Regions from separate parts of the Mus musculus genome. Here all the other regions are reported to be linked to region 1. Evidence: microRNA targets listed by miRTarBase, many of them from high-throughput screens and not tested one by one. Region 1 holds a microRNA gene; each other region holds the end of a gene's coding sequence.
What was found. Region 1 holds the annotated microRNA mmu-miR-1958 (UAGGAAAGUGGAAGCAGUAAGU, at 3,316-3,337, opposite strand). A microRNA usually pairs through its seed, bases 2 to 8, with sites in the 3' UTR of a target mRNA and lowers its output. Matches are read on the target gene's strand: a 7mer-m8 pairs with bases 2 to 8, a 7mer-A1 pairs with bases 2 to 7 and ends in A, and an 8mer does both.

Region 2: the mRNA of Zbed4 is a reported target of mmu-miR-1958. Seed matches in the 3' UTR shown: 7mer-A1 at 3,310-3,316.
Region 3: miRTarBase lists Braf as a target of mmu-miR-1958. Seed matches in the 3' UTR shown: 7mer-A1 at 1,552-1,558, 7mer-m8 at 4,086-4,092 and 7mer-A1 at 5,329-5,335.
Region 4: miRTarBase lists Ankrd28 as a target of mmu-miR-1958. Seed matches in the 3' UTR shown: 7mer-m8 at 2,640-2,646.
Region 5: miRTarBase lists Ubr1 as a target of mmu-miR-1958. Seed matches in the 3' UTR shown: 7mer-A1 at 3,437-3,443.

The regions. Positions count from the first base shown.
Region 1 is chr4:48,209,819-48,215,766 of GRCm38, forward strand. It overlaps Mir1958 (microRNA 1958), which reads right to left and starts at 3,397; the gene lies at 3,301-3,397. It overlaps Erp44 (endoplasmic reticulum protein 44), which reads right to left. Exons shown (of 12, transcript NM_029572.3): 7 at 1,832-1,889.
Region 2 is chr15:88,781,560-88,787,507 of GRCm38, reverse strand. It overlaps Zbed4 (zinc finger, BED type containing 4), which reads right to left. Exons shown (of 3, transcript NM_181412.3): 3 at 2,992-5,948. The coding sequence ends at 4,271. Among named protein-coding and RNA genes, the nearest start is that of Zbed4, 33 kb to the right of the region's middle.
Region 3 is chr6:39,605,838-39,611,785 of GRCm38, reverse strand. Braf (Braf transforming gene) reads left to right here. Exons shown (of 22, transcript NM_139294.5): 22 at 1,382-5,948. The coding sequence ends at 1,404. Among named protein-coding and RNA genes, the nearest start is that of Gm34389, 7.7 kb to the left of the region's middle.
Region 4 is chr14:31,697,556-31,703,503 of GRCm38, reverse strand. It overlaps Ankrd28 (ankyrin repeat domain 28), which reads left to right. Exons shown (of 28, transcript NM_001024604.2): 28 at 1,198-3,489. The coding sequence ends at 1,484. Among named protein-coding and RNA genes, the nearest start is that of Btd, 59 kb to the right of the region's middle.
Region 5 is chr2:120,858,687-120,864,634 of GRCm38, reverse strand. It overlaps Ubr1 (ubiquitin protein ligase E3 component n-recognin 1), which reads left to right. Exons shown (of 47, transcript NM_009461.2): 46 at 216-317; 47 at 1,844-4,363. The coding sequence ends at 1,985. AV039307 (expressed sequence AV039307) reads right to left here. Exons shown (of 4, transcript NR_038350.1): 2 at 2,311-2,447; 3 at 1,217-1,341. Among named protein-coding and RNA genes, the nearest start is that of AV039307, 11 kb to the right of the region's middle.

The DNA of each region.
Region 1 (5,948 bases):
AGTAACAGAAGGAACAAGCCAGTCTTAGATTCTGAGCGTCAGAACTGTGAGCAAAAGAAGCCTCTTTTCTTAAGCACTCTACTCCAGATATGGTGCAGCAATAGAAAAATGGATTAAAATAGTATCTGAATTAGGACTAGAAAATGACCTTTAAAAGTAATGGTAAATTATTTCTCTACATAAAAAAAATCTAGTATCAAAACATTATAGGCACATTAAAATTATATAGATAAAATCTTGGCCTGGCATGATGATATATGCCTTGAATCCCAGAACTTGGGAGGCCAAAGCAGGTGGAACTATGTGAGTCTGAGGCCAGCCCAGTCTACATAGTGAGTTCCAGGACAGCCAGAGGCACATAATAGAGACCCCGTCTCAAAATATAAAAAAATAAATACAAAATACAATAACAACAAACCTCAAACCTAACTATGACCTAGAAAAAAAAATTCATTCTATCTTTGGGATGTGAAACATTCATGGTGATTATCTTTATGTCAATTTAAGAAAACATAGTGCAAATTTTGCCTTAGTTGTTCCTACCATTATTCAGGCCTACCCAACTATTTCATGTTTAAACACGCTTACAAATAATTTAGTCAAAAGGAGAACCTAGCAATGCTATTCTGTTCAATGGACAGAGTATTAAACCGACTCTCAACAGCATCAATTTACACCCACAGATTCATGTATCTCAGCTCTCAGCAGAGAGATTTCTACTTGCAGTAGATGGTGATTGGAATAGAGAGCCACAACTGGCAAAGGTGCAGAATATAAGAAACTATTTCTTAGGGAATGCTAAGCCTGAAAAAAAGCATATATCCCACACTCCTCTCAAGGTTCAGGGATCATTGCAGAAGAGGGGGCAGAAAGGCTGTTAATGACAAAATGGGAACAGTGTCTGTGGTGACAGCAGGGCTGCTGCACTCACGAACTCACAGCAGCAGTGACCGCATACGCATGCAACACTGTATAAGCCCACAGCAGACCAAATCCAACATGGAGAAGAGAGCTGGGCACACAATTCCTCTCCTATCAGTTGAGTGATTAGCAACACACAGCTACAGGGAGAGGAAGGATAGCCAGCGTTCCGCTAGGGGGTAGGCCCTGGTAAGTCAATCTCACTCTACTAGAAAGCTACATACCTAAGAGTGTTATTTATTTAAGTACTGCAAGTTGGTCTTGATGGAGGGGTAGATCTGGGAAGAGTTGGGGGAGGGGAGTGAATATGACACACTTGTATGAAATTCTCCTAGAGAATTGATTTAAAAAAAAAAAAACAATTTAGCCAAGTTTAAAACAATCTAGGTGCTTTTACTGTCAAGAAGCTAATTTATGCCCCAGCAGGTTTGGAGTTACAGGCACAATACAAGTGGTGACAAACATTTGGCTCTCAGACTGAATGCAACAGAGACAGGGAGAGAAGTCAGGGGCCTGCACTGTCACTGCAGGCCTGTACCTTCGGGATTCTGTGAACACTGCGTCACTCTGAAATACGGATTACTAGACCATGATGGTTTCAAAGTCACATCATTCAGTCATGGCAGGACAAGCCTTTCATCCCCACCTCTCTGGAGGCTGAGGCAGAAGGATCTCAAGTTCAAGGCAAGCCTGGCACCTTAGTGAGACGCTGACTCAAACACAGTAAGGGGCCAGAATGTAGAAGTGTCGGAGCACTTGCCTGGCATACACAAGCCTTTGGTTCAATCCCTAGTACTTAAAAAGTTAAGAATTCATCAATGATTCTTCCAGCATTTAAAACAAAGCTATTGCTTATATTATAATTGTATTAACTATGGTGTCTTAAGCAGTCTGTAAAACAGAAACTCACCCCGGGTGGTTTGTAGATTACATTGTCTCCGTTGTACCTTTCTGGTTTTGAAAGATCTCTAATAAGAGGGAAAAAAAAATAATGTGTTAGGGAAAACACTAAAAACAATGTACTTTAATAAAACAGACTTCATAATCATTGCAGTGCATGAATTATAAAAACATGAAATATATTCTTGTTCATTATCTGTCCCATCCACAAAACTGTACAATAGCAAGACAAGCATACATTTAAAGGCAAACTAAGATGAAACAGACTTTTTAAAATAATGTTTCAGTCAGCCACTTTGGTATTAGAATTTATAAGTCTGGATTGGCAGGGTCAGCATGATAGCAATTTTGACTATATATTGATTTTCATCTATAGATTAAGCACATTAATTTGTCCACAGAGATCAATAAAATATATTAACTTTATACTTCTTACTTTTTAAACTTGCAAATTCTAAAATGATATTGAATTGAGATAATCTACATCATAGAAAGTTTTTGGAAAGCATGTCTGTACACTTGGACACTTGCCATTTCCTAGGCCTAGTACAGTATCTGGCATGCAAATATGTGGTCTTGTATAACAAATAGTTACCTAGTACAATAACTATTTGGTGAGAGAGTCCTACAGAAAACCCTAGGTCAAATGAGTAAGTTTCTCTTCCTGTACATAACTTGAGGATTAAATAAACACCGACACATCTTCAATCTCTAAGGAAGCAAGTGGTGCTAACCTAGACGGAGAGTGGAATATAAGGAAGGAGCTCTAGTAGGGAACTGTGAGACACAGGTGCTACGAAGAGGGAAATGGGAAAAGGGAAGAGGGGATGGAGGGCAATACTGAGAAAGAGCCAACAGGAAGAGGGAGAGGACACTGAGACGTCTAAAAGCTGTAGGAAACATTATCTTATGTTTGCTTAAGAGCCAATATACTTTTATATGTACATAAATATATGTGTGTATATATGAAGTCCTAATGAAATTATACCACTGGGTGTGATGCTCTCTCCAAAAGCCATAACTATCTAACAAAAACTCCGTTTGTCAGGCTTGGAACACCTTCCTTCTAGTTGTTGATAGGAGTTGAGTTGAGAGAGGACCTAAATAATATGGGCTTCTGTCTTTGGTTGCTCCTTAGAACTTCAAAGGATGATCCTGTTGCTGAAGACACTATACTTTAGATACAGGTCTTGGAGGAATCAAGCTGCAACTGACCTAAAAGCCCCCTCCCTGAGGACCTGCTCTCACAGTACCCGAAGGTGCTATGTAATCGCCAAGGGAGGATGCAACAGCCCCACCTAGCTATAAAGCCTACAAACCACACAATACCAAGCAAGGCAAGACATCCCCAAGTGTGTAACAGCGGCATCTACTCCCTAGTAAACAAAGCTGTATAACTAGACTTACGACCTGCATAATAGGAAGGAATCTATGTTTTGTACTGCAACCTAGCCAGCTATCCACAGCTGGTGAGGTCACGGAACCTAGAAGAGAACTTACTGCTTCCACTTTCCTATAGAATGCAGTTAGAAATTAAACTATAGGAAAGTGGAAGCAGTAAGTTCTCTTCTAGGCTCATCACTAAGACCATTACAGAAATCCACAACTGGTTAAAATTCAGAAAAAAACTGGCCATGAAGTACCAAAGCTAGTTGATACATCTCCAATACAACCCCTACACTAAAGTAGCTCACTGAACACAGTATAAGAAGGGGGCAGAAAGACTGCAAGAGCCCGAGGACTTGGAAGCTCTGTTGGGTGACTGTGTCTTCTTACATGGCAGGGAAGCTGTACCCATGAAATCTCAACAATATGTCTGCATAAACAAGACTTGCACAATGGCAACATCAATTGACACTGCAACATGAATGGAGAAATATCACAAGGCTCCACCCTAGAAGAAGACTAAAGGCAATTGATTGACGGCTGTTGAGAGAGGAAGGATGAGCCTTTGCTAGGATGAGCTCACTGGCACGTTATCTAGTCTCAAGTGGTCGTCCCTAAACAAATACACATAAAATGGATTCAGCAAGATGTATGTGTTTGTGTGTAGATATATGTATATGTGTATATGTATTTATACATATATATATATATATATATGGAACAATAATTAAAGAAGCAGAGGTTGTGAATTTGAGAGGGAGTAGAGGGACAGGAGGAGTTGGTAGGAGAAGGCTGGGTAGAAATGTAAACGCAGCAGTCATGTGTGATAGTCTAAGAAATTGGAATTAAATAAGTGGGTCACAGAAAAAATGAAATCAAAGCAGACGTCAATGATATAGAAACAAAGAAAATATAACAGATCAGTTACTCTAATAGCTGGTTCTTTGCAATGATAAGCAAGATCTACAGACTCTTGGCCCACTTAACCAGAAGAAAGAAAGCAATAACCCAAGTTAACAGAATCAGAAATGAGCAGGGAACATTACATCAGATATCAAAGAAATACAGAATATTAAAAGGGAATACTTTTTAAAACTCTACTTCATTAAGTTGCAAAATATGAAAAAAATAGATGAATATTTTGATTCATCCAAAATATTAAAATTAAACCAAGATGACACCAATAACCAAAAGAGACCCACAAGAAAGGAGTTAATTGAAACTGTAATAAACTTCTAAGTCTAAAAGGCCCAGTCCAGGTGGATTCAAAGCAGACATCTATCAGACTTTCAAGAGAGAGCTATAACCAACGTTTCCTAAATTCTGCAAAAAAAACCAAAAAACAAAACAAAACAAAAAACAGAAACAGAAGGAAAACTCCAAAACTTTGTCTTTGAAGCCAGTATTATTCTAATACTCAAATCAGATGAAGATACAACAAACAAACAAACAAAAAATACAGACTGTTATCCCTGAGAAACAGAGAGTTTTACCCTCAATGAGTATCAGGAAACTGGATATAAACTTATCACGAAGATTATCCACCATGATCAAGGTGGCTTTATCCTGGAAATTCAGAGTTGGTTCAACATCCATTAAGTCAGTAAGTGTAATAAATCACATAAATGGACTTAAAGATCAAAAAAAAAAAAAAAACTCACATGACCATCTCAATAGATGCAGGAAAAAAAAAAAATCTTTGACACACTACAACATGTTTTCACGATAAAAGTCCTAGAGGCCAGGACTGGAGGAAAAACATATATAGATAATAAAAGCTATATATGGCAAACCTACAACCAATATTATTCTAAATAAAGAAACATTGAGTAATCCCATTAAAATTAAGAGCAAAACAGAGCTGCCCACTACTCAACCACTCCCTTGCAATACTGAGCTATAAGCACTTAGATGGATCAATAGACAAAAAAAAAAAAAAAAAAAAAGAAAAGAAAAGAAAAGAAAATTACAGGTATGCTGTGGGAAGCGGGTGCGGCTGCATGGGCCAAGATGGCGCCCTGGCCCATTGCCAGATCCCATGAAACCCACATGTTTACTACCTTGCTGGAACATGCGCAGTGAAACTGCATGCGTAAGCTGCCTGCCAAGTTAGATTATTCCTCGTGATCCGGATCTGTCAGCCTATCTGTGGCCGACCTGAGCTCGTGCCTAGAGCGTGTGTGATTCCAATTGGATGAGGTGGTGTGGAGCGAGATGAGGTCAGTTGCCACTACTGTATAAATATAGCCCCTGCCTTAAGTAAAGAGAAAGCTGCAAAAAGCTGCAAGTAAGAAGGAAGCTGTGGAGCTGCACGAACCCGTCTTGGTGTCTGTGTCGTTCTTGTCTCTGCGGGTTGGAGACAGTGGCAGTATACTAATAAGAAAAGGAGGAGCCAAATTGTCTCTATTTAGATATCCCCAAAAATTAAATGTCTAGAAATAGTCAACAATTTCAGAAAAGTGGCATAGTGTACAATCAGTAGCTTTTCTCTAGACCAAGAGAGAGATCATTAGCACACTTCCAATTAACAGCATCAAATACAACAACATATCCTGGAATAACACCAAACCAAGGAGGTAAAAGACCTCTACAATGAAAACCTCAAATCTCTGAAGAATTGAGAAAGATGTAGTGTTCATGGATTAGCGGAATTAATATTGTGAAAATGACCATCCTACCAAAAGCAATTTACAGATTCAATGCAAACCAAATCAAAATATCCACAACATTCTTCACAGAAA
Region 2 (5,948 bases), not on the chromosome of region 1:
TTACTGTGCTGGCTAGTTTTATGTCAACTTGACACAAGCTAGAATAATCTGAAAGGAGGAAAACTCAGTGGAGAAAATGTTTCTGTAAGATCAGGCTGTAAAAGCCAGTGGTGGTGGTGGCGGCATGTAGCTTGAATTTCCAGCATGGGGGAGGCAGAAGCAAGCAGATCTCTGAGTGAATCCAGGACAGCCAGGTCTACACAGAGAAGCCCTGTCCAAAAAAGATCAGGCTGCAAGGCCTTTTCTTAGTGATTGATCAGGGAGAGCCCAGCCCATTGTGAGTGGTGCCATCCCTGGGCTGGTGGTCCTGGGTTCTATAAGAAAGCAGACTGAGCAAGTCCAGAGAAACAAGTCAGTAAGCAGCACCACTTCCTGGCCTCTGCATTAATTCCTGCCTCCAGATTTCTGCATTGCTTGTGTTTCTGATCAGACTTCCTTCAATGACAGACTACAGTAAGTCAAATAAACCCTTTCCCCCCTAATTTGGTCATGGTGTTTATCACAGTAATAGTAACCCTAACTAGGATGCCCATTCCAGGTAGACAGGAGGAATTCAGGAACAACCTGCCCAAAATGTCATCTGGAGGCAGGAAAACAAACAACTCAGAAGGTAAGTCAAGGTAGGATGATGGAGGGGCTGGTGAGATGGCTCAGTGGGTAAGAGCACCCGACTGCTCTTCCGAAGGTCAGGAGTTCAAATCCCAGCAACCACATGGTGGCTCACAACCATCCATAACGAGATCTGACTCCCTCTTCTGGAGTGTCTGAGGACAGCTACAGTGTACTTTAAATAAATAAATAAATCTTTAAAAAAAAAAAAAGGTAGGATGATGGAGAATGAACACATTTATTCTCAATATACCTATAACCTACCACCCAAATACCTGTCTGTGTAAGTCTATGCCATAAGAACTAGGCCTGTTCTCTTGCAGGGCTACCAGCAACTTTAGACAGAGATATAGCTCAGCTGTGTCCTTAGTGATGAGGGTGCCTGGTATCAAAAATACATTCATCACCTGTCAATAGAATATTAAGAGTTGCCACACCAACCCCAGTAGAATCTGTGTGACAAGTTCCACAGACTGAGGCGGTAGACTTCAAAAGGAGGAGGTCTCCTGGAACTCTTGGCCAGAGCAAAATATTGGGCCGTAGTTCTCACGGCAATCCATGTTTTGTTTTCTCCTATTCCTGTTCTTACTTACATGTTGCTTGTAGCCTAGGCCAAGATCTTAAGTGAGAATAATGGGTAAGAAACCATCCCTTGAGATGGGGACACTAACATGACCTTATCTTTGAGGAAACCAATGCTTTACTTTATAAATCATTTATAAAATTATACAATAGTATTATGACAGATTAAAAACTTTCCCAACAATAAAATTTCATATGGCTACATGTGTGTCATCAGTGTTGGGCTTTGGTATATGGTAAAGAAATCCTTAAAAAGAATATAGTTTAAATTTATGCATTGAAGATTAAAAAAAATCAGGTATTAGATGGTAAATAATAATTGACCATAAGGATTTATTATCCTGCTCTTGGAAATCTGCCCCTAGCCTTGGATGGCTGCCCCACTGAATACATCCTTTCAGAGTTGTTACACTTGGATGATTTCTGATAATCATGTCACCTGTTCTGTTTGTGATTCACTTAGTGCATCTTTTCTGAGTTGTAATGTTTGTTTGTTTTTTGTGCTTTACTGTGCCAAGTGATAATGATGGTATTTGTGGTTGCTTCACTGAACACATCTTCTAAGAGTTGTAATATTTGTTCTTTTAATGTATCTTTCCCCCTGCTTGAGAGCTGCAAAATACACTCAAACTGCCTCTGTGTTTCTGTTTGTTACTGCCAAAACTTTACCTACCTAGCTTTGAGAACCCTCATTCCAGGGACCCCCGTACCCGACTGTGGTAATCTGTGGCACAGAGTAATGGTGCTTCCAATGTCAGTTGTAATATTTCTGCTGAGACAAACAAGCACTTTTTTTTTTTAAATCTTTTTATATCCTGTGACTTGAGCATTTAAACTAGAATATGGTAGTGTGATGCTGAAAATTTACAGGGACAGAATGGCAGGTGGGGGCCTGGGGATGTAAGTAGTTAAGTTGCCTAGCATGTAGCAAACTGTTGGCTCTATTTTCAGCAATGCATAGAAGCAAGCACGGTAACATACCCTGTCATCTCAGCACCTGGGAGGCAGGGGAACAAGTTTAAGTTCATTCTCATCCTTGACTACACAGTGAATTGGCAGCCAGTCTGGGCTACATGAGATCCTGCCTCAAAAAGAAAAACTGAAAGCAAAGGAAAGAAACAGATAGCAAGTGCTGTGGATAGGGCTCAGCAACATCTGCTCAACTATCATTTCTTTGCTCCTATCTACAACTAACCCTTCCCATGTCAGGAGTGCTGGCCGGGGATAGAGCACTGTGTGGACTGTGAAACTCAAGTCCAGGTCAAATGCTCCAGGGCTCTCCAGAAATAGGCTGGTGCCCAGGGGTAAATATGCACAGGCATCAGGTAAGAAAGGATATGCTGACAGGGTATGCAGAGGTGCTAGGAAGTTCTAACCACCACTACCATCATCAAAAATGGAACTGTTAGGAATACTGCCTCTACTCCCCAGGGTCCTACCTGTGACTATATTCACATTTCTTCTTCTTCTTCTTCTTTTTTTTTTTTTTTTTTTTTTTTGCATGACCCCAGTCAATTCTGAGACTGAAGGATGTATGGACATTTCAAACACTGTTTGAATGCAGTTTGTATGTATTAACACATAAAAAGCATTCCTGAGCCAGGCGGTGGTGGCGCACGCCTTTGATCCCAGCACTTGGGAGGCAGAGGCAGGTGGATTTCTGAGTTCGAAGCCAGCCTGGACTACAGAGTGAGTTCCAGGACAGCCAGAGCTGCACAGAGAAACCCTGTCTCGAAAAACAAAACAAAACAAAAAAAAAGCATTTTATCCTAAAAATAAAAAGCCATCATCAGTCAGCAATAGAAAATCGCAAATAAAAAGTTTAATTTCAGAATCCAGGTTCGTCATTTATAAATACACTAAAGCACAGTCCAGGCAAACTCAGACCGAGCCCACACAGTATTTCAACACAACATTTGTTTTCTAAAAGGTCAGAGGCAATGAGTGATTTGTTTCACCCAGAATATTTAACTGATTTGAAATGAGAAAATGAAAAACTTTTTCTTTTAGACATAAGCAAAAACTTTGGAGTCTGGTAAAGAGTCTGATAGCTGATACTTCATGTTGGTATCCTTGGGACTCTATAATGTCCCAGTGATGGTTGAGGCTTCCCTATCATAGGAAAAAAAAAAATCTAAATGCCTAAGGCTTTTCTCATGACTGCAATAAACAAGCGCTTTCCCTGTCGACAAGCTACCTCCTCAAAGTAGAATCTGAGCGCTATCTGGTCAAACTGAGGGGTCAGTGCATACTTCTTATGAGATAGCTTTATTGTATAGAGATGCAAAAAGTAAACCAGAGGCATGGAGATTGGATCAGCAGGCCATCTGTTGTAAACGTGTCATATCATGCTCTGGTGAAGTCCTAAGCATGACTTTAAAACCTGGATCCAATTTCAAGGGGCTCATGATAAGTGGGATATCTCTGAGTTAACTGACCGTGTAAAACCTGAATGCAACACCTGACATGGGACCATTCTCATGACCAATTAGCCATGTGATTGACACTCCATGATATGCCCAAGTTCAGTTTTGTTTTCAAATGCCTGGTTCTGTAAACAGCTTCCAGAATATTCTCTCTAGGACATACTTTTGGAGCCTGTGGTTAAGAACTGTTCAGTCAGGATGGCTTAACCTCCACCTCCTATTTACAGGTTTCATTTAACAGCCACAAAAGCTGTTTTGTTGCAATTAAAATATTTAATTAAAATACAGCACCTGATTTGTGGTTTTTACACAACTGAATAAAAACCCTACATAATAAAATTGTTTACATCTTCCTTTCATTCTAGTAAAACAGATTACTATCCCCTCAAAACAAAACAAAAAACCTTTATAGTTTTAAACCTGATCATCCTATTTCATAATTGCCAAGACTGTTTCTAGTGGGCTTCTGAAAACGCACCTTGACACCTGGCCTGAAGGAGGAGTAAGGCACATGTGGATATTATGGTGAGAACTGGCAGGTAGCCCCAGATGCCTGGTCTGGTGTCCTACATGGCCCTGCCAGGCAAGTCAGCCCTGGTACAATAGCTAGCACTCTGAAGCACGTTTCCAGTCTGGTGGCTCCATCTCTGAGTTCAATACTGAAAGCATATTAAAGGAAGATTCACTTTTAAAAAGATGAGCTTTTCAAAATGCTCCATCATGAGCCTGGGCTGGCCAAAGCTGCCAGCATCCATGGGTGTGCTGAACAGCTTTTCTGAGGGGACTGTACTTGGGGGACATCCCAGAAATCGAACTGCTAAGGTAGACAGCCCAGGCCACGATGACCGCTTTAGGTTCCAGTAGGTGAGTGGGTCACAGCTGTGTTCCAGCACCTCTTCCTCCAAATACGCAAGCACCATGTCTTCAGGTAGCTTCTCTCTCTGATCTCTCTTTATCGGTGCGAGTGACCACAGGCTCTCCTCTGTGCCAGTGTCTTTAAGTGGGGACCCTGAGTCACAGCCATTGGAGGTGGCAGTGTCCTCTGAGGTAGAATTCAGTATTTCTAGCTCCCTGATTAAGTCTTGCCTGTACTGCTCTGCCTCCTCCTCTGTGAACAGGGAAGCTTTGTAGCGAGGGTCCAGCAGTGTGGCAAAGATGTACCTGGGGTCATGGAGTGTGGCAGACAGGCGGCTTGCCATGGCTTCCTTCAGGGACTTAAGCATGGTGTCAATGCCCATGGTCTCCCCAAACAGCATCTCCACTTTTCTGCTGAGGATGTGGATCATGGGGATGACCTGGCTCAGCGTAGACATGTGGGCACTCATCTCTCGGCTTGCAGCATCAAATGGTCTCAGCACATGGCACACAGACTGCATGACCTCCCACTGGTCACAGCTGATCAATTCTCTGAAGTTACACTCAATGGATACCTCATTAACTGCCCTCTTCTGCTCAATCAGACGTTCGAGCATGTGGAACGATGTGCTCCACTTAGACGGTACATCCTGGATCAGCTGGTGCTGTGGCAGCTCGTACTCTTTCTGCAGTTCTGCTAACTTCTCTCTTGCTCTGGGTGACCGATGGACCCGCTCACACAGCTTCCGGGCAATACTCAGTAAGTTCTGCACCATCCTCTGGCTCTTGATAGCCTCGCTCACAATCAGATTCACTGTGTGACTGAAGCACTGCACACTTGAGTGTTCACCCTCACTCAGCATCTTCCCTATGCTTGGATTGTCAGTGACAGTGATGCCAATCTGAAGGCCAATGGAAGTCACCCAGGCTTCCCACCAACACTCCAGCTGCTTCTGAATGCTATTTCCACTATAGTCACAGTCGATTTGTGAGACATCTAAAAGTGCTGAGCAATGGTGGTCCTCACAATGTGGTCGGACAGCGGATGCGAAGGTGACCCAGTGAGCTGTAAGGGTCAGGTATTCACGAGTCTGGCTACTCATCCATATTCCAGAGGTGAAGTGAACCACACCACTCTCAGCTTCCTTCAGATGTGACATAATTATCTGTTTCACATTGTCATACATACCTGGGATAGCTGTTCTAGAGAAGTAGGAAGGGGAGGGTAAAGAGTACTGAGGTTTCAAGTATTCGAGCAGCCTGTTAAAGCCAACGTTGTCTACAAGGGAATATGGCTGAAGGTCAAGTGCAATCATTTCAGCTATGAGACTTGTGATTTTTTTGGCAACTGGATGAGAGTCATAGAACTTCTCTGTGGAGTCACGGAAAGAGGAAGGCCCTGAGAGCTCTATGCCCAGAGGCCTCCGGATGCCTGGAGAACGGGACAGAGTGGCCTCTGAGACATCATTCTTGAGT
Region 3 (5,948 bases), not on the chromosome of region 1:
GGTTTTATATTGTTTTGCTAAGAGTTCTAGTTTCTTCTCATAAAGGATTATACCCTACTGTTTTGTTCTGGGCCTTTTTATTTATTTATTTTTTAAGTTGTGTGATTTGGAGCAAGTTTCCAGACCACTTAGCAACTTGCCCATCTGAAAAACAGATTCCCTGTACATCCCAGGCTGGCCTGGAACTTGGGATTTCCCTACCAGTACCTGCCAAGTGCTGGGATTATAAGCAGGAACCACTATACCTGGCTTCCTTCTTTGGTCTTTTGGCTCAACAATGCCTTTGTTAGATAATCATTAAAAATAATCCTTGACGGAAAGAGATAATATGACTGTCTGTAGCCCAGTTAGTTGTGTTCAGGCTAGGAAAGCAAACTTTAATGATTAAAATGTGATTAGAGTGCTAAGAAAGATGGCAGGGAGACAAGAGGGTGGCAAGGTCAAGACCATCGTGCTGATCTTCTCAGCATATAAATCTTAGGATTCAGTCCACCAGTCATTAACAGTCTGCTCCATATGAGACATACCAACATTCCCTAGCAACCAGTCCAAATCTGACAGAAATTAAACACTGGAGAGGTTATTCCTAGTAAGAGAAAAATATCAGATGTAATAATATTCAGGAGTCTAAGGCAGAAGGTCATGGGTTCGAGGTCATCTATATAGCAAGATATTCTTTAAAATAAAAAAGTCAATGACAGAACTTACAAAGTCAAGTAGCTGGGGCTACCAATATGACTCAGGTGGTGGATGGGGCATGCCTTTTATCCCGGCACTTGGAGACAGAGGCAGGCAGATCTCTGTAAATTGAGACCAGCCTGGACTACAGAGCTAGTTCCAGGACACCCAAGACCACACAGAGAAACCCCGTCTTTAAAAAAAAAAAAAAAAAAATGAGGCTAGAGAGATGGCTCAGGGGCTGGAGGTTAAAAGCACTGATTGTCTTCCAGAGGTCCTGATTTCAATTCCCAGCAATCACAAGGTGGCTCACAACCATCTGTAATGGGACCTGATGCCGTTTTCTGGTGTGTCTGAAAATAGCACAGTGTACTCATATACAAAAAGTACGTAAATCTTTTAAAAAAAAAAGCAAAAGGAAAGTAGAAAGGTGGCTGTGTGAGGCCTGCCAAGGCTGTGAGTTTGAGGCTGCCCCGCAGCGTGGTACCCAGCTGGGACATTCTCCGTAGCTTGTTATTTTCTTGATGTGGCTGAATTGTTTTTTGTGGATTCCAATGACTCAAGGTTTAAACTAGTGACTTATGTTACAAGGTTTGTAATATATTTAGCTGATCACCTTTCAGTGAGACCCAAATAAGGCTTTTCTGTCTTGAAGTTCTTTCAAGATGACGTTTTAAAATCAGCTCTTGTCCTCCCTCTACAGGAGAATTTGCAGCCTTCAAGTAGCCAGTCCATCATGGCAGCATCTACTCTTTATTTCTTAAGTCTTGTGTTCATACAGTTTGTTAACATCAAAACACAGTTCTGTTCCTCAAAAAATTTTTTAAAGATACAAAATTTTCAATGCATAAGTTCATGTGGAACAGAATGGAATTTCCTATTCAACAAAAGAGGGAAGAATGTTTTAGGAACCAGAATTCTCTGCTGCCCGTGTTTCTTCTTCAACATAACTATCACGTGCATACAAGTCTGCCCATTCCCAAGAAGAAAGAGGAGAGACCCTGAATTCTGCCCTTTTGGTGGTCAGGCATGATGGAAAGAATTTGCTGCTGCAGCTTGGGAAAATTGCTATGGAAAGTCTGCCAGTCGACTTTGCCCTTCTAACCACCAGATCAGCCTGTGGCTGGTCATCTGATGGGGCGATTTCCATCACCAAGCATCGTTCTTGCCTATTCTGGGATTATGTTGTGGAGCACTTTCCCTGTCCAGCACCGTTCATTTCTGAGGGATGGAGTAAATGCAGCATTCCCTTGTGTAGCGCCTGTTCAGTCCTCAGCAGCTGCTGTCACAGCGAAGCTTTTTACAGTTAAGTGGTGGGGGAGAGTTGAGGAGAGCCTGCCTCGGGGCAGAGAAAAGGGGGTGCTGCATCTTCTTCCTCACCTCCAGCTCTCTCACCTCGGGTTGCCTTGCTCACTGGGCTCCGCCTAACCACTCAGGCTGCTCAGTGCTGGCACACATTGCCTTCTTTTCTCATTGGGTCCAGCAATTGAGGAGAGGGTTGGGGGATTGTTTCCTCCTCAATGTAGCAAATTCTCAGGAAAATACAGTCCATATCTTCCTCTCAGCTCTTCCAGTCACCAAATACTTACGTGGCTCCTTTGTCCAGGACATAAAACACCGTGGACAACACCTAATTAAAAGCCTACAAAACTGCTTACTGACAGTTTTGAATGTGAGACACTTGTGTAATTTAAATGTAAGGTACAGGTTTTAATTTCTGAGTTTCTTCTATTTTTATTTAAAAGAAGAAAATAATTTTCAGTTTTAATTGGAATAAATGAGTACTTCCCACAAGACTATATACCCTGAAAATTATATTTTTGTTAATTGTAAACAACTTTTAAAGAATAATTATTATCCTTTTCTCTACCTAAAAATTATGGGGAATCTTAGCATAATGACAATTATTTATACTTTTTAAATAAATGGTACTTGCTGGATCCACACTAACATCTTTGCTAACAATCCCATTGTTTCTTCCAACTTAACTCCTACACTACATCCTACATCCTCTTTCTAGTCTTTTATCTATAATATGCAACCTAAAATAAACGTGGTGGCGTCTCCATTCATTCTCCCTCTTCCTGTTTTCCCCAAGCCTGGTCTTCAAAAGGTTGGGTAATCGGTCCCTGAGCTCCCTAGCTGGCAATGCAACTATTAGGGACATTGGAGTTGCAGGAGAGCAGGAAGCCTGTCCCCAGCTGTTCTTCTAGAACCCTAAATCTTATCTTTGCACAGATCAAAAGTATCACCTCGTCACAGTTCTCCTTAGCCTTTACTTACAGGTAATATAAATAAAAATCACCATAGTAGTAAAGAAAACAACTGGATGGATTGATGACCAGTACCTCTCAGAGCCAGGAATCTTGAATCTCCAGGATTTATACGTGCAAATTTAAGGAGATGTACTTAGCAACTTCAAGCCAAGAACTTCCAAAATACTAGCGAATCTAAAATAAAATGGAATTTTGAGTTATTTTTAAAGTTCAAATTATAATTGATACCACTATGTATTTAAGCCTACTCACAGCAAGTTAGATGGATTTTGCTAAACTCATTGCCAGACTGTGGTGGTGGTGGTGGTAGTGTGCACCTTTAATCCAAGCAACTCAGCAATCAGAATGAGGTAAATCTCTGTGAATACAAGGCCTGCCTAGTCTGCAGCGCTAGTTCCAGGATAGCCAGGGCTACACACACAAAAACCCTCTCTCAAAAAAAACAAAATTAATTAGTTGATAATAAAAAATAACTAAAGTATCATCAAAGGAAGGCCTACTGGAAGTTTTATATATTCCCAGTAAATTGAAAAATATTCTGAAGTTATTAACCAGTTAGCAACAATGTGTTTTTAAGTCTTACATAAACAGAGCAAAGTCTTCAAATGTTTCAGAGCTGAGAAGATAATTGTGCTTGATATGAAAAATAGCCTCTCCATATGATGTGCCACATTGAAAGGCGTCATTACCCTTTTAAATACTTCTTAATGTGGCTTTGTTCCCTTTACCCAGGATTAGCTAGAAAGAGCTAGGTAGGCTTCGGCCACAGTTGCACATTTCGGGCCTGCTGAAGAATGGGAGCTTTGAAGGCTGGCCTTGGTGGAGGAGCCCCTCAGTGCTGGAGGGTGGGGCGTGTACGCAGCATGGAAGTGGTCTAGACAGAGTGCAAAGGGACAGACTTCTTTCTCATTTTAGTATAGGGTGATGTCTCACTTGAAATGAGAAAGTAGAGTTGATATTAAACGAAGCTGTGCCCAGAAACCAGGCTCAGGGTATTGTGAGATTTTCTTTTTAAATAGAGAATATAAAAGATAGAAATAAATATTTAAACCTTCCTTCTTATTTTCTATCAAATAGATTTTTTTTATCATTTGCAAACAACATAAAAAAAGGTTTCTTTTGTGGGGTTTTCTTTCCTTCTTTTTTTTTTTTTTTTTTTTTTAAGACTGCAGATAATCTTGTTGAGCTCCTCGGAAAATACAAGGAAGTCCGTGTTTGTGCAGAGCGCTTTATGAGTAACTGTATAGACAGTGTGGCTGCTTCACTCATCCCAGAGGGCTGCAGCTGTCGGCCCATGAAGTGGCTGCAGTGCCTCGTGAGATCTGCTTTGTTTTGTTTGGAGTGAAGTCTTTGAAAGGTTTGAGTGCAACTATATAGGACTGTTTTTAAATAAGTAGTATTCCTCATGAACTTTCTCATTGTTAAGCTACAGGACCCAAACTCTACCACTAAGATATTATTAACCTCAAAATGTAGTTTATAGAAGGAATTTGCAAATAGAATATCCAGTTCGTACTTATATGCATCTTCAACAAAGATTCTCTGTGACTTGTTGGATTTGGTTCCTGAACAGCCCATTTCTGTATTTGAGGTTAGGAGGGCATAATGAGGCATCCTAAAAGACAATCTGATATAAACTGTATGCTAGATGTATGCTGGTAGGGGAGAAAGCATTCTGTAAAGACATGATTTAAGACTTCAGCTCTGTCAACCAGAAACCTTGTAAATACTTCCTGTCTTGGTGCAGCCCCGCCCCTTTGATCACACGATGTTGTCTTGTGCTTGTCAGACACTGTCAGAGCTGCTGTTCGTCCCTCTGCAGATCTCACCTGTCCCCACTGCACACCCACCTCCTGCCTCTTGCAGACCTCAGCATCTAGCTTTAGTTGGAAACAGTTCAGGGTTCAGGTGACTTCTTAAAAAAAAAAAAAAACCCTACCTCCTCAGAATGAGGTAATGAATAGTTATTTATTTAAAGTATGAAGAGTCAGGAGCGCTCGAACATGAAGGTGATTTAAGATGGTTCCTTTCGTGTGTATTGTAGCTGAGCACTTGTTTTTGTCCTAAAGGGCATTATACATTTAAGCAGTGATTCTGTTTAAAGATGTTTTTCTTTAAAGGTGTAGCTCAGAGTATCTGTTGTTGGAATTGGTGCCAGAGTCTGCTTAATAGATTTCAGAATCCTAAGCTTAAGTCAGTCGCATGAAGTTAAGTAGTTATGGTAACACTTTGCTAGCCATGATATAATTCTACTTTTTAGGAGTAGGTTTGGCAAAACTGTATGCCTTCAAAGTGAGTTGGCCACAGCTTTGTCACATGCACAGATACTCATCTGAAGAGACTGCCCAGCTAAGAGGGCGGAAGGATACCCTTTTTTCCTACGATTCGCTTCTTTGTCCACGTTGGCATTGTTAGTACTAGTTTATCAGCACCTTGACCAGCAGATGTCAACCAATAAGCTATTTTTAAAACCATAGCCAGAGATGGAGAGGTCACTGTGAGTAGAAACAGCAGGACGCTTACAGGAGTGAAATGGTGTAGGGAGGCTCTAGAAAAATATCTTGACAATTTGCCAAATGATCTTACTGTGCCTTCATGATGCAATAAAAAAGCTAACATTTTAGCAGAAATCAGTGATTTACGAAGAGAGTGGCCAGTCTGGTTTAACTCAGCTGGGATAATATTTTTAGAGTGCAATTTAGACTGCGAAGATAAATGCACTAAAGAGTTTATAGCCAATTCACATTTGAAAAATAAGAAAATGGTAAATTTTCAGTGAAATATTTTTTTAAAGCACATAATCCCTAGTGTAGCCAGAAATATTTACCACATAGAGCAGCTAGGCTGAGATACAGTCCAGTGACATTTCTAGAGAAACCTTTTCTACTCCCACGGGCTCCTCAAAGCATGGAAATTTTATACAAAATGTTTGACATTTTAAGATACTGCTGTAGTTTAGTTTTGAAATAGTATGTGCTGAGCAGCAATCATGTA
Region 4 (5,948 bases), not on the chromosome of region 1:
TATATGCTTCCATTTATTGGTTTAAAAAACTGGGCAACAAGGAATTTGTTACCACAGAAAGAAAAGGTCAGGATAGTGGTTACACTGTGGAGGAGGAAAAGACATGCAGTGTTTGTGGTATCCGGCTGGTGGCTATATCAATATTTGGTCTGTGATAAATCATCCTATTTTAAAACAAGTTATGTCTTTTAAAGTACGTATTATGTGACTGCTAAAACATGAGCACAGTAATATGAAAAATAGAGCAACAGTAAAGCTAGTCTAAAATTTCAAGACATCTATAACATTAGCGCCTTTTGGCTGCCCATGGCTTAAAACAAGGGCAACCCAAACTTGATGTGGGATAGTTGGAACTTGCCGTCACAGTAGGATGTTTACCATCCTCTCTCCCATCTCAGCCACAAGGTTAGTGCTTTGCCAACCAAGGTACCACATGCGTTATCCATGGCTTTCCCATTGATGCTTGGGGCTCTTTATATTTGAGGAAATTTTTTGGCTAAGTTGAAAGGAAATACTTGTCTGGAATTCTGAGCTTTTAACGCTTTGTTTAGTTTATCATTTTCTCACAAGGCTGTATCTACCCAGTGGGTTCTGGGAACTCGCTCTTTCAGCAGTGGAATTTTAAGTGCATACCAGCCCGCCTGGCTTCTTTAAGAGGGGTCCAGGACTGTGCTCAGGTTCTCATGCTTACAAGGTACTTTACCCACTGAGCCATCGTCCACGTCGGAGGCCCACAAGCACACCAAAATTCTGACTTCTGTAATTCAGTTGGTATGTAGTTAGTGATCATCTCCTTGTGTTTAATTCATATGCTTCCATGTTTAGATGGTCACCATGTAGAAGTTAACTTAGACAGGTGTGAATTACAGTAAGCCTCGACTCACTGTTCTAAAGGGGATCGGCTGATGTGCGTTTCTTGGGGTTTTTTTCTTCCCTTTATTCTAAGAGTGCTCCATCTTACCCATCTCCAACCCAGAGATGTTGGGGGAAGTACCCATTGTGAGGCTTTAGTTCCCGCTTCTGTTACTTAGTGTGAAAGCTCTCCTTCTACCTCACATTCTTAGCATTGTACCTCTTCCTGCTTACTAGACAGTTGTGAATTTATCTACTCAAAGTATCTGCTGTAAGCCATCAAATCTGTGTGTGAAGATGGAAGATCTTGGGATGTTAACTTTTAAATTTTAAATTCAATTATAGGCTACACCCCAGCTTTGGCCTGTGCTCCCAATAAGGATGTGGCTGACTGCCTGGCTCTCATTTTGGCCACCATGATGCCTGTCTCGTCAAGTAGCCCATTGACATCCCTGACATTCAATGCCATTAACCGTTATACCAACACCTCAAAAACAGTTAGCTTTGAAGCCTTGCCTATCATGAGGAATGAAGCCAGCTCCTACTGCAGTTTTAACAACATTGGTGGCGAGCAGGAGTACTTGTACACCGACGTGGATGAGCTCAACGACTCTGACTCCGAGACCTACTGAAAGGCCGAGTGAGCTGCAGCTCTAAGGAAGTTCTGACACTGAAACTTCAAATCGGGCTTTTTCGGGAAAAAGGCACTTTCTTATCATACACAGATTCAACCTGAAGAAAGATCATGCAGTGAACGAATGGAAGAAACATGATGACATTAGGAAGAAGAGTCTTAAAGGCAAGTTTTGCAAAAGGAACTTCTAGAATCTTAATAATGACTTGACCAGTGGAAAACACAGTGATGTCGATTGCTTTGTGGGATCGTTTAATTGGCTTTGCAGTGCCAGAAATTGGGACACTGCTCCCTGACCTGCTTACATGGGCAACACTGCTGTAAAGAAAGAGATCAAAACACTAGATTAAATTTTACCCATAAAATTACAGCTAAATTTTAATGCAATAAAAGTTTGGTATAATAGGCATTATGTACACATCAAATTGCCAAGGACCAAATAACATACAGATTTTTTTATTAGAACTCCATTTTGTGGAAACGGAAATAGATGAAATGAGAAGTCGTCTAAAGCAAACTTCAGTGCTTCTGAAAGTGAGGCCAGATTCGGTTTGGTGTTGGTTTTTATAAGAAAGCATCTACTGTATTAAGCCATGAGAGGAAGCAGATGTATTTTTACATTTTTTAATATAAAAGTTTTTAAATTCCACTTTTTATAGACTTCAGAACCAGTTAACTGGGTGCAGCGTGGTTGAAAGTACTAGAGACAGACGCAGATGAAGTCAGGGCTGTTGCCCACGATTGAGTGGTTTGCTTTTAAATTGAATTGTTTTTGTTTAAGGAATTCCATAGAGGAAATTTTTAATGAATTTAAAAAACAGACTATTTCACCTCTTGTAATGCAGCGGTCCTGGAGAAGGGACATCTGAGCCTCTCTGTGCGCGGCACACCTGCATCACGTTAGTTACTTTGGGACCTCTACCTTTTTTGGCTGGAGGAATTCTATTGTCATTTATTTTAATCTTTGAACTTTAAAAACAAGAATCAAAATTTTAAAAAGTTTGAAGACTCTTGTTATGAAACATTGTCGAAAGCTGGTTGTGAATTCTATACAAACTGGGATTGTAAATGTTTTATGTAAAAGAAAATACTTAAAAATGTACCTGCTTCCTCTCCTGCGTCCTCACAGCACTGGAAGGTTCTTGAATGCATCCTTTCCTTTGTTGTTGTTGTTGTTGTTGTAGTCGTTTGTTGTTTTAAGACAGGGCTCTCTATGTGTAGCCCTGGCTGTACTAGAGTTTGCTTTGTAGACCAGGCTGGCCTCGATCTCACAGAGATTCACCTGTCTCAGCTTCCTAAGTGCTGGGATTAAAGGTGTGCACCACCACTGCCTGGCTTCAGATGTTTTCTTTATAAAAATCAACATCAAACCATTTGGCTTCCTTCTCAGAAGCATTGGAGTTTGCTTTAGATGATGACTCATAACATAAACAGAATCAGGTCATTTGGAAGGCATTTCTGTACTGGGCAAGATTTAAAATACTTCAGGCTTTAGGTCCTCCTGAGATCTAGAGTAGCGGGTGTGCAGCTTCTTACTGTCAGAGCTTGCCTGCCAAATTGAAGACTGCCTTTCAGGTAACAGAGAAGAGGCTGACAGTAGGCTAATTTTAAATTACACTTTTCTGTGGTTCTTTTATTGTAACTGTCACTTTCCCAGTAACAATGATTTTACATTGGGGGGAGGGGTCTTACTAGAGCTGGGTAAAGTTCCATACATTGCAACAAAATGATACCCAATTCCATCTTACCCTTTTTGTATTGTGAAACTGGAACTTTATGACATTGTAAATTATCAGCTGGTTTTTCTGAATATAAAGTGTGAAAACACAGAACAGTATTTTGATCTATTTGATAATTTTGTGGGTTTTTTGAAGAATTAATGAGCATGTACATAGAAATAGTGACTGCTTGAATCCTGTATTTACTTGCACTCTTTCAGTACATCAAGATTCCTGTATATTTTAGAGTATAATAAAACACAGACGTGAGCTGTATTTAATGAATAATGTATTTGTATCTGTGCATATTACTTAAAAATCTATAAAGTTTCTAGGGCATTGACTACTAGATTTTAAGCATTTTTCTAAAATATTTGCAAAATTATAAATATAATCTCCATCTTTTCTTTATAATATAAAGGAGTCGTAATGAACCCTTCGTAATTAATAGTGGGAGAAGGGTAAATATGCATTTTAAAAGACCGTAGACTACATTTCTATTGTACCTTTTAAAAAAGAAAACTCAAGAGGATTCTAAAAGTATACCATATGTGTGCTTTCTCTTTCCTTTTAGGAATTCTCTTCTGAATTCCCTGAGGGAATTTTCTAGAATCTCAGAATTGAAAGAGACCTGAGGTCCATCCAGTCTAACCTCTTAAATGCAGGAGTCCCTTCTCCAAGGTTGTCTTTCCACCTTGAACACTTCCAGTGACTACCTCACGAGCAGTCCATTCATTGTTGAGCAGCTCTGTTAGGAAGGTCTCCTTAATGGAGCTGAAGCCTCCCTCCTGGTAACTTCTGTCCTTGGGCCCAGCTCTGTCCTCCAAGGGAATGCTGGAAGGATGACTTTCCACCCTCTGCCATGTCTTCTCTTTCACAGGCTGAAGTGATTTCCAGATGGACTCATTAGACACATTGTCTGCACATCTATTGAAGTCAAATGTGTAGCTATAAAGTAACAAACTCATCTTTTAATTTATCCTCATATGTATGTAGAGACCAAGATCCTGCATCACTTTAAGTAAAACACTCGGGAGGTGGTTTGTGCTGTTACCAGCCGACTAGAAAAGCTGTTCCTTTGTGGTAGTTTGTCTCTAGCTTGAGCAACCCACTTCCTTTGGTGTGCACTGGAAGAGGGAAATTTTGAAGTACTATCCCAGAAAGTGTTGACTAACACCAGTATTTGGAATAAATACAGGAGCACAGCATAGCGCCATACGTTACTTTATAGTTACATACACCTATAGTGTGCACAAAGCATTGGTCCTGGTGGGTCGGTTGTGTATTTATCCTCGCCCACAAGGGGAAAGTCTGTCGGCCTTTAATTTCTGTGAGAAAGGTGACATCTAAGATATGTGTTACAGAAATACCAGCTTTTGCTCAGAAACAACTTTGGGGGAGATAACGATGACAGGTGACCTCAAACAGTGCCATTTAGTTCAGAGATCTCTAAATGTAGCTGTAAATTTGGGGTTAATTTGGCTTCAAATATTGGATCTTTTAAATGAAATAAAAATTTTTAATGTAAAAAATCAAGTGTCTTTCTTTTTTACATATAAAGAACTTTTTTCTTTAAAATGTGTTAAGTTACAGCAGGTTTTTAGACAAGTTTTTTGCAGGTTGTTAGTGTGTTTCCTACAGCCTAGAATGAATTCCTGAGTGTTCCTACTCCACGTCTAGGTGCTGCATCACCTACAGGTATGTGCCTCCATCCCCAGCTCTGATTTTTGTCCTTTAAGAACTCAGTGGCTTCTTAGTAGTTATTTTAGACTTTTGTACTTACCAAAATGAATCTTTCACATGTATTAACTCAACAAGTATATGTTTCTTACCTGCTATGTACTTGAGTATCAGTGGGCAGAATGGTGGTGGTGTCCTTTAACGGCTGACGGTTTCATCATGTAAGCAAAAAGTGATAAATAGGACTGAGATAAGCCACCACCGAGGAAGGCAGGAACAGGACACCTAAGCGAGCAGGAAGGCAGCGGGCTTCATGGTGGAGGCAGCGCAGAACCTGGACACTGGGGACAAGTCTGACTGAAGCAGGTGAAGAAGGCCTACGAGATTTCCTAGGTGCAAGAGCTTGGAAGTGCTTGGAAGAGGGCAGATGGGGGCACGGTGCTCTTCAACACGAGGTGTTCCTATGTGAAATGAGAGCGTAACAAGCTATACAGAGCTTTGATAACAGGCATTAAAAACAGATAAATATTAGTAGCTGCTTGGGACCACAGATAAAGGAGTTTTAATAATCTTTGAAATCATCTCTGCAGGTAACAGTAATAGAAAAGGCCAGTACACTGTTGATCATGTACCAGGCAAAGACGTAAATGCTTGAAATATGTTATCTCTTAATCCCCATGACTATCCAATGAGGTAGGTACTATTAATAACATTTAACACGTGGAGGAAGACAAAATAACTTTTGACCACAGTCTTGATTTTTAAAACCTGACTTCAGCTGCAGGCAGTCCTCCTCCTGTAGTGCTCTCTAATGCGTGTGCTGATTCTCTGGTTTTTGTCTTGACTTCAAAATTGTTAAATTCCCTTCAGTTTTATTCTCATAGCTCAATATCTTTAGAATAAACAGGAATGTGGTCACAGCCAGTACTGGACACCTGCTGCTTGCAATGGAGCTGAGGTTCTGGGTATAGAGAAGTAAGGGGGAGGGAGTTGTCACTCACCCTTGTGACAGAGTGGAGCCAGAGAGCCTGCCATCTGCTCACCTCAGTCACTGTTGCCATCAT
Region 5 (5,948 bases), not on the chromosome of region 1:
AGAGCGAGTTGCAGGACAGCCAGGGCTACACAGAGAGACCTTTCTTCAAAAACAAACAAAACAAAACACCCCACAGTATAGTGTTTTCATCCACGGCTGTATTGCCTTTTCATTAAATGTTTACTGAGCATGTCTTGTCTTTAACTTTGATTCGATGTCTATCATCTGCATATGTGTATCTAACAGTGTTTGCTAACATTGGATTTACTTTTCAGAATCCGAGAATGCAGGGTGGTCCTGGTGGAAGGAAAAGCCAGAGGCTGTGCCTACCCAGCCCCTTACTTGGATGAATATGGAGAAACAGACCCAGGGCTAAAGTAAGATTTTCTTTAGTGGAAGGTTTAATCAGTTGTCTTATATTTTATTTGCTTTATTGTATGTGTATATTAATAGTTCTTTAAACGTAAACTCTAGAAATAGAGTTACTGATGTTTGTGAGCTGCCATTTGGATGCTGGGAACTGAACCTTGGTCCTCTGACAGTCGTTAGTATCTTAACCACTGAGCCCACTTTCTAGCACCTGGGCCTGGTGAGACAGTGAGACAGGTTCCCTGATGCTAGGAGGCTGAGTAGCTGGTCAGTACCACATGTTATCAACTTTTTATGTAGGTTTGGGGCCTTGAACTCAGGCCCCTCAGGTTTGCATGGCAGGCACTTGACTGACAGAGTTCTCTCCCAAACTTTATTATTCTTTTAAAATATCATCCAGAAGAATAGACTCACTAGATAGGGCTTGGGCTCTAATGGATTATATAGGGATTTGTTTTTATCGAGACAGCATTTGACTTGCCTTTAAGTTTAAGAGGAAGGTACTGAGTGGTCAAAGTAGTTAATGCTGGTCAGGGTGGAGGTCACTTTTAATTCCAGTACACAAGAGGCAAGTGCAGGTGAGTCTCTGAATTTAAGATTCATCAGATCTGAATAGTGGCCAGCCAGGGCCACATGGTGAGAGTTTATCTCAAAAACAAAACCAATAGCAACAACAAAATAGTTAATAACTGAGGATAATCTTGAGTTGTTCTAGAAAAGTACAAAAATGTGGAACTTTTAAGTTAATGATAAACAGTGTGAAAGTTGACAAGTTGCTGAGACATCTGATGTTCCAGGGACTGAGATGCCAGGTATCGCTATGACTGTACTCAACAGACTTCAGACTTTTTGTGTTAGCTGGCACAGTGTTGCAAACTAGGTAACCCTGGAATAGAAATGTACTTACTTAAACATTTGCTAAGCCAGGTATGATGATGCACATCTATACGGAGTTCTTGCTACCTGGGAGGATGAAGCAGGAAGGTCACTGGAGTATCACTGTTCACACCCAGCCTGGACACTGTAACAAGACTGAGAAAAAAACACAAACAAAAACCAAGAAAGTGTTCACCAAGCATGTGCAAGATGAATCATAGGGAAGGTTATAAAACAAAGTATTTCTGAGGAGAAGAATGATTTAAGGTCTTAGTGTTATGCCTCAAACCTAACCTCCTACACAAAATCATAAACTGAAGCTGGGTAAATTGTGAGGACAGAAAGCCATTAGAACCTCATTCAGCTATCCACCAGAAAAGACCAGAGCTGCTTCAAGTTAGAACCTGTTTAAATGAGGTCTCATTATGTTCATTATGTATGAGACCTGATTTCCCAAATAGTCTATTTCTGCTTCCTTAACTAAGTGGTGTGCCAAGTTCTTAGTAATCAGTGAAGAGTTGCCCTGTTTCTGGGCCTCGTCCTGATGCTTGCGCTCATAGCTGCAGGGATGTCTTGGTAGTGTGTACTGATTTAAGACTAGAGATGGCACTGTTAAAGCTTAGATGTCAGCTTTGTTTTTTTTTTTTTTTTCCTGAAGGAGAGGAAACCCACTTCATTTATCTCGGGAGCGGTATCGGAAGCTGCATTTGGTCTGGCAACAGCACTGCATTATAGAAGAGATTGCTCGGAGCCAGGAGACTAATCAGATGCTATTTGGATTCAACTGGCAGTTACTCTGAGCTCCAGTTCTGCCTCAAGACAATCATGAGTGACATCAATAATAAAGACTGATCTAAAATTCTAGAGAACTTTCTGAGGACGGGGAAGTATTGGAGGGTCTTTTGATCCATGTCCAGATTCACACACATTAATAAAATATTCCTTAATGGAATATTGCTTTCAATTATCAAACATAAGCTTCAAGGGAAAAACAAGACATAGATTAATGTTTTATGTTCTAGAACACTAAAGAAATGCTTGTTCATCCAAGTGTCTATTTCTGCTAATATTTCCAGAAAACTCCTTTCCCTTCATAACTGTCCTAGTTCATTTCATATCACCCACCTGGTTAATGAGGTCACATTAAGCATTTGTGGACATTTCTCCATCTGGCTAACATCTCTGCACCTTTGTATTTGGTGTTTCTCGAGTGTAGTTTAGCTTGGGTTAGATCTGAAAAGATGCTGATCACCTGTGATGGTCTAAAGAGGAATTGCACAACTATGCAGTTTCTTTCAATTAAAAATTTCAAAACATGTAAACATCTTTCTTCTTTAAGGAAATATCCTTATTGTACCACCTACGGCTTCAGTCAGAAACAGATCTAAATCTCTCTATGGAGAGTGCTAGCTGTGCTAGTCTGGAAAGCATCCTTCCAGTATAGACCTCAAGTAGATTCAGGAGAATGTGCTCATTACGCATTCCTTATACAAAAGCCTGTTATCCTCACCTGATTCCAGGGAGCTCTGTGGAGTCACAAGTTCTCCATCAGTTACATTTCTTAAGGCAGATTTCTGCAGTAAGATCTCGTCTCTTGGGGCCCCATCCTATTGTCTCTCAGAAAACTCTTGTTTTGAAGCAAACTCTTTGTAGAATGGGAATCAGAAAATTGCCCCAGTGAATGGTCATAAGAGATGAAATTAGAACACTGTATTTAAGCCAGTTCTGCAACCTTCTATGGCTTGTAAGAAACAGGTCCTTGATTTGATGTCTAGGTGAAACCTTTCATAAACGACTGTTTATGATTAATATAAACAACAATAACAAAAAAGCAACGTAATCAGGTGTGTGTCCTGTTATAACCTGCTGTGGTTGAGCCATCTTGCGTATAAATAATGCAGCTCTCCTGAGTCTGTGCATAGACCTCTTGATTCTTGGCTTTACCGTTTTATATCAAGACCTTGTGAGTAGATCAGTTGATACTTATTTTAGCTTTTGTGGTATTGGGTAATATTGCAGTTGAAAGATGTGTTTGGAGATTGTCTCTTCCTTTGCCCTTGGCTACTGCTGCCATGTGTGTGTCTAAGTGTTTTCCTGCCTTCTGTTTAGTGAAGACCAGGAAGTAAAAATACATTTGATAAGTGATCAGTGATGCACATTTGGGGCTAAATTTGTTGCCATTTTTATGGAATGAAAAGTGGGTTTTGCAGTAAGAAATTGGTGTGAGCAGGCACCAGACTCACAATCATGATTTCCTACTTGGATAAATACTACTCAGAAGAAAGCAGGAACTAGATGCAACTATAATGAACAGTTCACAGCAATTATAAGAGACAAAAATCAATAAATTCAGTATTTGGCTTGTGCCATTTGCCAATATGATTAAGAAATTTGAACATTGCCCTTTGTTTTTTCTATAATTTTTTTTTGAGAGATTGTTTAGCTCTGAAATCTGGGCTAGAATAGGCAACATAAGATGCTCATTTCTGCCTTAGTCATCTGGCCCCCATTTGCCAAGGATAAAGACTTTATTTTTAGCCTTCTTAGATTCAATTTGTAAACCCTGGAGCTAAGCTTTCAAGCTGCTAGGAGGACTAGCTAGCACTAGCCAAAGAGCCTAATTCATCACTCAGTTCTGCTTCTTGAGATGGAAGTTTCTGCACTGGAGGTAGACTTAGGTCACAGTGCTGCCCCAGCCCACGGGATCTTTAATAGTATTCATCATGACAAATGATTTAAGTCTGCTAAGAAGTTTACTTAAGCAACCAAGTCACTTTATGTAGTGTAGTGTATGAAAGAATTGGTTTAGTGGGATGGCTCTGACTCTGTGTTTTTAATATTGGTGAGGGGCTGGCAAGGATTTTAATGATACAGTAAAGATAAACATATATCTGTATAATTAATTTATTCTGTTAGTGTATGGGCTGTGAGTTCACCTTTTAGTGGTCATTTGTCATTTCATAACAACTATGCATTTTGGTTCACTGTGATGATGATCTATATTTAGTGACTGCAACATGTTTATACCACTGATTCAAATTCCATTCATGATGAAGTTATACAGATGATGCATATATTGATATCTTTTATTGCAAAAATGTAAATTAAAAACTTGTATAATGTTCTTGTGCTTTTTTGAAATAAAATATCTTATATGTGTATATTTAAAAAGAAAAAAGGGACTTCTCATGTTTGGGCATTTGGGTTTGAAGTATAAAAACCTTACCTAGAAAAGAGCTCTACTTAAAAGTATGTAAGTTCGGCCATGTTTTGTTTGTTTGTTTTAGGCAGAGTCTCTTGGGCTCATGCTGTGCTCAAACTCATGACATAGCTGAGGCTGGCCTTGAACTCCTGATCTTTCTGCCTCCATCTCTGAAGAACTGGAATTATAGGCATATGTCACCACACCCAGGTTAAAGTTTTTTCAAGACACAGACTTTTAGGGTTAATGGTCTCCAAACTTTTTGACTATACATTCCATCACCATATGTAGATTTACATACATTCTTTGCATGTAGTGTTCTATGCCTACATTAAACACATTTTATGACATAGTACAAAACTGGAAGGTTTTAATTCAGTCTTTTGCCCCATTGTCATAATTAAGCTCTCAAAGGTATAAAATATAAAGATTCTCAAAGCTGCAAGAGAAAAGAAACAAGCATAAAGAGTCTCTGTTTATCTGATGGCAAACTTCTCAGAAATCTTATAAGCAAAGAGAAAGTACTTAAGATGTACATAGTACTGACAGGGGGAAAATCAGCCAAGATAAAGCTAGCCTTCAGGATTGAAAAAGAAAAAAGAGACTTTGGGGCTAAGAATTTAGGTCAAGTAGACCACCTTCCTAGTATGCATAAGACCTGGGTTTGATTCCCAGCACCACAAGAAAAGAAAGATACTAACTCACAGGCAAGAGTGACTGTACAGATAAAGTCAGAATGTTCTAGTATTGTAAAACAGTAGGCCAACCACTATTAAACAATAAGAAGATTTAAAAAAAATTCTACATTAAAAAAAAAAAAGATTCTATAAGCCAAGGAAAGTGGGTAGTTTGTTCCTGGCAGACCCAATGACTAAGGAGTCTGAGGCAGAAAGATTGCTTGAGCCTATCAGTTTGGAGACCAGCCTCCATAACATAGTTATGTTTCTGAAAAGAAAATAATGGCATATGAGAGTGTCTTGCTTTTTCTATTGCTGTGATAAAAATACACTGATAAAAAGCAACTTTAGAAAATAGTTTATTTTGGCTCCCAGTTAAAAGTAGCAAGAGCTTAAGTAGCTTGTCACATTGTATCTGCAGAAAGTATGAAGCAACCAATTCCTGGGCTCAGCTCACTTTGTCCTTTTTTGTATAGGCTAGTATCTCAGCTCAGGTATGGTCTGTCCCTCTCACCATAGTGGATAGGTCTTCCTGTTTCAACTAAGCCAATCAAGCCAATCGCCCAGAAGTTCATCTCCCAGGTAATTCTAGATCTCACCAAGCTGACAATTGAGATTAACCATTGCATACAAGTCAAATAGGAAGATAGGAAATGAAGCATTTAAAGTTCAGTGAGGAAGAGTGATCTCAAAAGTGTAGGGTTTGTTGTTTAATGTAGTTTTCCTTTCCTCGAGTTATACTGCTGTCATACAGATTGGTTTGTTATAACCAAACTCTGAGGTTTTTTTAAGCCTATAGTAACCATAAAGCAAAAGTCTAAAGTAGACGAACAGAAAATAGTAAGCGATCAAAACATGACTGGAGTAAATCATTTAGCCAAAAG